Tribolium castaneum: one gene and its partner. The protein of the gene in region 2 purifies or fractionates together with the protein of the main gene of each other region. This does not show direct contact. Links are inferred from orthologs where the notes say so. Each region holds a gene or a part of one and is shown on either strand. Other genes may lie near its edges.

Region 1 (4,395 bases), on a different chromosome or scaffold from region 2:
AACGGATAACGAATAAAAGTCGGAAATTTTTAAGGTAATTTTTATTGTACTGTAATAGTTATAACACAAATAAAAATTCATTAAAAGAAGAATGAGTGCAGTACTTTTTGCTGGCATCTAATTGCATTTCCTTTTTATATTATTTAAACCGGTGATAATAGCGTTATTATTACTAATTCTGATAACAAAGGTCGCAGTTCTTGCTCTAAAATAAGTACTCGGAACAAATCAGTGTTTGCGTATACACAATAATAAAATAAAAAATGTAGTAGAGTTAAATGTTGGGCTTGAGTTATTGTTTGCGTAAGATGATCAGAGAAACAGTGTTAGTACCTGCCAACACTTGCACGTAAAAATAGATAAAATAAACAAATACAACCGCAGGTGTTAAACGAACAGACAAAGACGATTCTTACCTTCCCGTATCCATTTCCGAATCTAAATCATCAGCACTTTTATACAAATTAACAACAGACATAGCATCCATATCTAACTTATCACATGAATTGGGTTTTCTTTGCTTCACTTCAACTTCCCCATTACAGTAACTCAAAATGTGGGGCTGACTCATAAATCTATCATTTTCCAAACTGTCCCCATGCCTTACAATGGTCAGTCTCTTCTTATGGATTTTTCTTCTGGTAGGTGACAGTTCTGACGTTTCTTGTCCTGACAGTAACAAAGGGGCTGACATGGACGTTGTAATTGAGTTTTTTCGAACATTGTCTTTGGTTGTCTCTAGTGGCATCACAATTTTAATAATCTATAAAAATAGTAAAGCTTAATTTAAACACGAAACGACTAGTGGTTCATTTTTCTTGGACTAGTGAGTCACGAGCTTGAAAACGTCACATAACAGTACTTGGGTAAAAATTTACAAGTATGATAACATAGACCATAATTACATGCAGTGATAACTGACTGCTGTTATTATGTTTGTGTAATTTTTATTTAACAAAAAAGTGTTTGCTATTTTTAAACATGTCAACTGCATTCTTGTAATTTGAAACCTGATCACTTGAGTTAAAAAAAAACACATACTCACCTCACAGATTCACTGTTAAATGCGAAATAATACACATTTTACAGCGATATTACAGTGATAATATCAAGTACAAATTCCCCTTTTTAAAATAATTAGTTCTTTTGTACTACTGGTAGTTTGAATAACTTATACAGTAGATAAAAAAAAGAATCATTATTTAATATTTTTGCTAAAGAAGATAAAAGTTGGGTAATAAATATTGTGGCTCAGTTTTAGGTTCCAATTTTCTGTTTAAGTATTTTAATTTTTTATATGGATCATGCCACCTCTTAGTTCGATTCTGCAAAAAAGTTACTAAGGAAAATAAAAGTCCTAAATTGAAAATTTTTGTGCAATTTTTTACTTTACTATACTTTCCGAAACGTGTAATATTGCCTTGTTGTTCAATTTGTTTGCGATAAGGTAAAGTTCATCCGATTTGAAGGCGTATTACCTTCGATAATTCGTTCTCCAGCCGGTTTTTTGGTAACATTTTCCGCATTGGCAGCAATGTGCATGGCGGCTGTCAAGAAACGAAACCAAAAATTGTCATCTGTCCTCATGTTTATTGCTAATTGTTTAATTTTATAGTTACAGTGAAGCAATAAAGGTGTGAATTTATGTATTTTTAACTAAAAATAACAGTTCCCTCCTCTAACTCTATGCCAAACAAACCCACCTGAAAAAACCCCAGAAGAAATTCTTCAACACTTGAAAAAAATCCATGACGATCTCGCCCATTCCTACCCTAATTTGATCGTGTTGAATTATGTTTAAAGACATGGCTGATTCAGCGAGTGAGTCTGATTCGAGCAGCATTGACGGGGGCCCCATCATGATGCCCCCCAGCCCCATAACCAGGGAGCAGCTCCAAAAGCGGATAGAAAGCTTGCAGCAGCAAAATCGGGTGCTTAAAGTCGAACTCGAGACCTACAAGCTGCGGGTCAAGGCGCTCCAGGAGGAAAATCGCGGCCTGAGACAGGCCTCTGTCATTATCGTGAGTCCAAAACCTTCAAGCCTTGCCGTTTACTAACCCAAAATTGCAGCAAGCCAAGGCTGAGCAAGAGGAGGAGTTTATTTCAAACACTCTTCTTAAGAAGATTCAAGCGTTGAAGAAGGAAAAGGAGTCTTTAGCCCACCACTATGAAAGGGAGGAGGAGTGTCTTACCAACGATCTCTCGCGGAAACTCACGCAGCTGCGACAGGAGAAGTGCCGACTTGAACAAACTCTAGAGCAGGAACAAGAGTGCCTTGTTAACCGTCTAATGAGAAAAATTGAGAAACTAGAAGCTGAGACGCTGGCCAAGCAGAGCAACTTGGAGCAGCTGAGACGCGAAAAAGTAAGATACATGGGGAAAAAATTACACATTAAATTTAAAAAATTAAATTTGTACTTTAAATAATTTATTTATTTCTTCAAGAGTTAGTTTCATTTGTGTAATATCTATAATACTTTAATAATTAGGTCGAGCTTGAGAACACTCTTGAGCAGGAGCAAGAAGCTCTCGTTAACAAGCTCTGGAAGCGCATGGACAAGCTCGAGGCCGAGAAGCGAATGCTTCAGATCAAATTGGACCAACCGGTCTCAGATCCGGCGAGTCCTCGTGACATCAACAACGGCGATACTGCCACCAATCTCAGTGCCCACATCCAGACTCTCCGTTCGGAAGTGGCCCGTTTGAGGCAAACATTAGCAATCAGCCAACAAGAGCACACCCAGAAGATGCAAAGATACGCGCAAGAGGAACGCAACATCAAGGAGGAGAACTTGAGGTTGCAGAGGAAGCTGCAGTTGGAGGTGGAGAGGCGCGAAGCTCTCTGTCGCCACCTCTCGGAGAGCGAAAGCTCGCTGGAGATGGAGGAGGAGAGGCATTACAACGAGCAAGTGCTTGGGGCCAGGCAGCACACGGTGTCGCCGGTTCCGTACAATCCGTCGCCTAGCCAGAGTCGCCCCCTGAGTCCAGGTGGGAAAAACATTTTTTAAGCTCCTAATTGTAAGATAAAACCAGATATTGTCGGGTTCCTATAAAAAACATACCGAAAAAATATATATTTAAACTCTGCCTTCTATTAAACTATGTTAGTTATTTCAAAAAATACAAAGTCTTATTTTGTGTATTTGCGTATCTTCGCTGTAACAATTATGTTTTTTTATTTTTAACACCAATTAATCGATAATCCGTGAACCCCTTGTAACAATTAGTTCGGATGTAGGTGTTATACTGTGATGTTTTTAGGTTTGTCGTCGATGCAAGCCCCATCCCCGCGCGACTCGCTAATCGTGGGCCCCCCACGCTGTCCGACTTGCGGTCAATTACTAACGGCGGCTTGCGTGCCTGCTTTGCACAACGTGGGTTCCAGCAGCCCCCCGGCCCCGGCCCACCGAAGGACCAGCGAAAGATTCATCAAGCCGGCGATTCCAGCACCACAGCCCGCTAGTCCCATGGATACTTCAATCACTAAAGAATAAGATAAAAAAGGTGTCGAGTTGACAAATAAGTAATCATGTTGATGGGCTTTCGTTTTGCAGGTGGTGAACATTTGTTGGTTTTCTCTGCATGTTATTTGTATAGGGGCTTTAAAGTTCGAAACAAATAAATTTAATAAAACTACATGGTGTTACTGTGAAACTAATGGATACATAATTTTTTCTTATTTAGATATATTATACTTGGATTTTTCGATTTTCGGGCAGCTGTTTTTGATTAATTTCGGGATCTGCTTTGCTTTTAATATGTGTACTTAATGATGTTATATGATAAAGGGAGCTTCATTGTGGTCAGCTCTACTAAAATATTTCCATATTTGAATGTTTACAAGTGATCTTTCAATCTAGCAACGGCAGTTGTCACAGGTCCGATGCCATGTTGAACCATTGCCAACAATTTTCACAATGTTTGTGATATGTGAGTTTTTGTTAATTAAAATTGTGACACGATTTCTTAACAATTTCGTTTAGTTTGTACACTGCACTCTGCCAAACTTGTTTTCTTAGTATTCATTATTTTGTCATGCAATAATAAATCTAGCTTACGTTTTAAGTAATGGATATCACGTTTTTTATTTGTAACACCATTTCAATTAAGTAAGTTTAATTGAAATGTTGAAGGTTATTTATCCGATTTGTTACATTCATAACACTAGAAATTACGAATTAAAGACTATTTAGTTTAGAGTTAGGTGTTTTTTAGATTAACATCTCAAAAATTGACACTACAGGTGGCAATTCAAAAAAATTGTGAAAAGTGATATTAGGATATAAACTCATTAGTTTCATTGGTGGAATTACATTATCATCTTGATTTGCCAAATTTCTAAATTTAAACAAAATTCTTCCCTTACTAAATTAAAAGCCAATGAAAACTTTCGGT
Region 2 (3,997 bases):
ATTCCGGGTTGGTGAAGTTTCTGGGTTAAACGGAATCATCTGTGTAAACAAAGTCGACAATTTAATCAAAAGTTGAGCAAACTTGATTATGATTGTTATTGACGTGGGAGTCATAAATGGGGTTTTGGGTCACAGAAGACTTACCACGAGATGGTCCCTTGAGGCTTCGATTCAAAATGTGACTTATAACAATATAATAAAATGAGCAATGTATACACACTAAACACTAACGAAACTCCTTATCTTATTTATTGACTTTGCCAAACGCCAGCAAACATCACAAGGGACGGTCGTAAAAATCCAACAAATAACAATTAAAAAATTAAACACCTTCAACCACTTCCTATTCTAAAATAATATCGGACATGAAACAGTACGAACTCACTCCCCACTAAAAATAAAAACAACACGCACAAAAACATGTAAAAATACTCGACTTAAGTAGTGCTAGCGCCGCCTGTTGGCTTAGTTCAGGCGCATTGCTAGTTGCATACCGTAACCTTAGGCCCACTCCAATGTCAAGTCTACCTAAATTTAAACCCAGCGTCAATTTGAACATTTATTATATACAGTTACAATAATACTGGACACATTACGACTTGGCTAAAATCTGCGCTCTCAGCTCGATGCACATCTCCTGCTCCTCGATGATCTGGCGGACCAAGTTGATCTTCTTGATTTGCAAAATTTGGTTCTCCTTGAGGAACAGGTCCATGACTTCGTCCAGGTCCTCGTTGGGCACCATCGCCACGGGCGGCACCTCCCCCGTGATCTGCGAGCGCAGCACGGCGATCTGGCCGCGCTCCGCCTGGATGTCCTTCAGGAGCGAGTCTCTGAGCAGCAGCAGCCCCTCGTTCTTGAACTTCAGCAGCGCGACGCTGCCGTCCAGCTCCGACTCCTCCTCGCTGGCCGCCTCCTCGGGCTGCGCCTCGGGCTCGGGGGCTTCCACCTTCTCGACCGCTTCCTTGTCGCGGTTCGCCGTTTTCAGCTTGCGCTTCAGCTGCGTGATGATCCTCTGCACCTCCCAGAGGAGCTCCTCGCGCTGCTTCGAGATGCAGCAGACGTTCATCTCCTTGTGGATCTGGGTGAGGAGCGACTCCTGCTTCTTGAGCTCCGTCTCGATCTCGGGGGGCTCCTCGGGGAGCTTGGCCCCGGACTCGAGAGGGGGCACGTAGCGCGCGATTGTGATTGTGGGGAAGAGCGCGAGGCAGTGGTGGAGCAGGGCGTGGAGGAGGCGCGAGGAGCAGTGGAAGGTGTGGTTGAGGGCTGTGGAAATGGCTTGTTTGTTCATTTTGTTGCATTTTTCCTGCGAAACGCGCTATACTATGGGGGCTGGGGTGTTAAGGCACTCACATTCAGAGAAACGTTGTGTAAATGGGTGATGAGCCAGCCGAGGAGCGTTTTGTTGTGGGGAGGTAAAAGGTCCACTAAAATTTTTAAGTGTTTTTCGCGAGTGTTGAGATTAAGGATGGCTCCGGCTTCCTCGAAACGTATTAAAAGGTCGTTTGTAAAAAGTGGTTCTGGTAAATCTCTGCAAAGAGTTTTTGCCCATCATGTTACACCTAAGAAAAGGTTACCTTAAATAGGTTTTTACTAAACTTGTGACGGTTGGAGGGTCGTAGTCATTTAAATTGATATTGCCCCTCTGATTGTACATTTTACGTATTTGGAGAACTTTTGATTTTGTTCCGCTGATTTTGTATATGCCTTCGAACGACATACCTACGGTTTCTACATAGTCTATACATTCCCGAATGGGTAAAGGAATGTCTACACCGTCATGGCACCGGCTCCTCTCAACAGCCACGTCTAAACTAGCCCCGAAAATCGGTAAAATATCTGGAACGAACAATTCATTCCAATTTTATTGTCATTATGTAAGAGTTCTCACCGCCGATGTCAGCGGTCTCGTCAATTGACTGTTTGAGTTTCTTCGTTTTCTCACTCTTGACTTTCTCCTTGTCCTGCTTCTTGTCATTCTTCTTATCCCGGTCTTTCTTCTTGTCGAGATCTTTCTCTTTTTCGCGGGATTTGTCCCGTTTTTCTTTGGCTTTGGTGGAGAATTTGAACGGTTTGGCTTTTTTTGTTTTCGACGGGCTTCTGAAACATCCCAGTGAGGGTTTGAGTGATTGCAGGTGTGATTACCTCGACTTGAAATTTTCATCAGCTGAACTTTCGCCTTCTAAAGCGGCATAACCTTTGTCTTTATCCTTCTTCTCTTTGCGTTTTCCGATGAGAATGTCCTTTTTCAAGACTTTCTCATTTTCGTCACTATCTAGAAACGAGTTTTAATCGGGAATTAGTGGTTCACTTAATTTATTATTACAGTCGCTGTCGTTATTGCACTGCTTATTTAATTCGGATGCGTACAAGCCTGGGAAATCCTTCATTACGTCGGGGCTATCAAAATCCATATTGACACGGTTGGGTTTGAACTTTTAATAAATAATTATGACACTATTTTCCCAAGGGAATTTGTTGCTAAGCATGTTAAGCTGGGATAAAACAGAAACAACACAAATCAAGTCATCTGAGTGGTGTAATATGACAGGTGCTTGCCCTGCCATCTCTTGAAGGAACTGGTGTTGAGGGCCGCCTTAACCGGGAGATTCGAAATAAAAGACGAGCTAGTTTTGTAATTTTTTTTAATTTTTTTTACGTGTTACAGGAAGACAAATCTTTGACCACACTTCCACAACACACTTTACAAACTAACTTAACTATGTAATAAATTGCAAGGAGTTGAGCAAAAAAAACGTTTAATTATCACAAGATTTATGTGTTTTTTCGTCTCGCCTGCAATCAATTGTCGATTGCACGTGGTTGGTTGCAGGCGAGACGGAAAAGCAGATTTTCAACTATCTTAAAATGATGAATTAGTACTCTAAATACAATATTACGAAAACACATACAAAAGAACTCCTTGCCTGTCCTATGATTTACATTTTCATAAACATACCAAAGGGAAGGTCATTATAAAAATATATCAAGAGTAGTTGACACCTAAAACTGTTAACAATATAAAACAAATGGGATTTAGTCGTATTAATAAAAACAGAGTTTCAAGTAACAACACCTTTGTCTAGTCTTGCCCCTAAACCAGTTGTCAAGGGGTCCTAACACAACTTATAAATATCCTCAAGCTAGATCAAACGAGAGGAGTGAAAGAAAATCCGGCAACGTAACAAAGTAAAAAGTAGTCCCTACTACGGGAGAAGTGAATGAAAATCCGGCAACGTAACAAAGTAAAAAGTAGTCCCTACTACGGGCGGAGTGAAAGAAAATCCGGCAACGTAACAAAGTAAAAAGTAGTCCCTACTACGGGAGGAGTGAAAGAAAATCCGGCAATGTAACAACGTAAAGAGTAGTCCCTACTTTAGATCGAGGCTACGCGCAAAAAAAAAACAATAATATAATAACAAAAGAAACGGTGGTTGTGTCATTAAATGGTATTAGAACAACGAGTTGGCGAGTGGCGTTTATCTATAGTCTTGAAACAACATTACAACTAAATTTTTTTGGGGAAATGCATACCTTAAGTAAATAAGTAAAATTTACCATCGTATGATTGCCATTTTCAATGAAAAGTGCAAACATTCTTAGCTCAACTAAACGTACATTGATTGTATTGTTTTCTAATGAACCAACCTTAAGAAATCTCAGCTAAGCAGTTATACGTGTAGCCCAGCTACATAATGCTTAATATATTGGTACACACTAAAGCGAAAACGAAACAGCCTATTTTTTAGATTTTATATATGAAAGTATTGTGGAGTGAGCCCATATGTATGTACAAAGTATAGCGCAGTCATTACAATACAACTGATTAATGTAACCATCAAACTCACACAAAACTTTATGACTAAATCATTCACGTTATATAATAATAGAACCGATACGGTCTCCACTGACATTTAAAAAATATTGCGTTGCATAGCTTCATCTTGTAATTACTAGAAAAATATGAAACTGTCAGTTATTTTAAGGCAATGGCACT

Evidence for each region. Proteins that work in one complex are often made in the same cells at the same time.
Region 1: the proteins of Rlip (region 2) and coiled-coil domain-containing protein 6 purify together in Homo sapiens (affinity purification with mass spectrometry; 3 studies listed by BioGRID and IntAct, counting the BioPlex papers as one, with this or other methods). This does not show direct contact. The link is inferred for Tribolium castaneum from reciprocal best matches to the Homo sapiens genes RALBP1 and CCDC6.

The regions. Positions count from the first base shown.
Region 1 is NC_087398.1:5,840,382-5,844,776, forward strand, and holds the start of coiled-coil domain-containing protein 6, read left to right. Parts: upstream 1-1,499; 5' UTR 1,500-1,793; coding exon 1,794-2,021; intron 2,022-2,070; coding exon 2,071-2,364; intron 2,365-2,489; coding exon 2,490-2,988; intron 2,989-3,261; coding exon 3,262-3,494; 3' UTR 3,495-4,395. Other genes in the region: subdued (anoctamin-4), read right to left, coding at 417-748.
Region 2 is NC_087403.1:3,536,244-3,540,240, forward strand, and holds Rlip (ralA-binding protein 1), read right to left. Parts: upstream 2,557-3,997; 5' UTR 2,415-2,556; coding exon 2,327-2,414; intron 2,276-2,326; coding exon 2,146-2,275; intron 2,101-2,145; coding exon 1,892-2,100; intron 1,840-1,891; coding exon 1,578-1,839; intron 1,532-1,577; coding exon 1,354-1,531; intron 1,307-1,353; coding exon 593-1,306; 3' UTR 547-592; downstream 1-546. UniProt on the Homo sapiens protein: Multifunctional protein that functions as a downstream effector of RALA and RALB. As a GTPase-activating protein/GAP can inactivate CDC42 and RAC1 by stimulating their GTPase activity.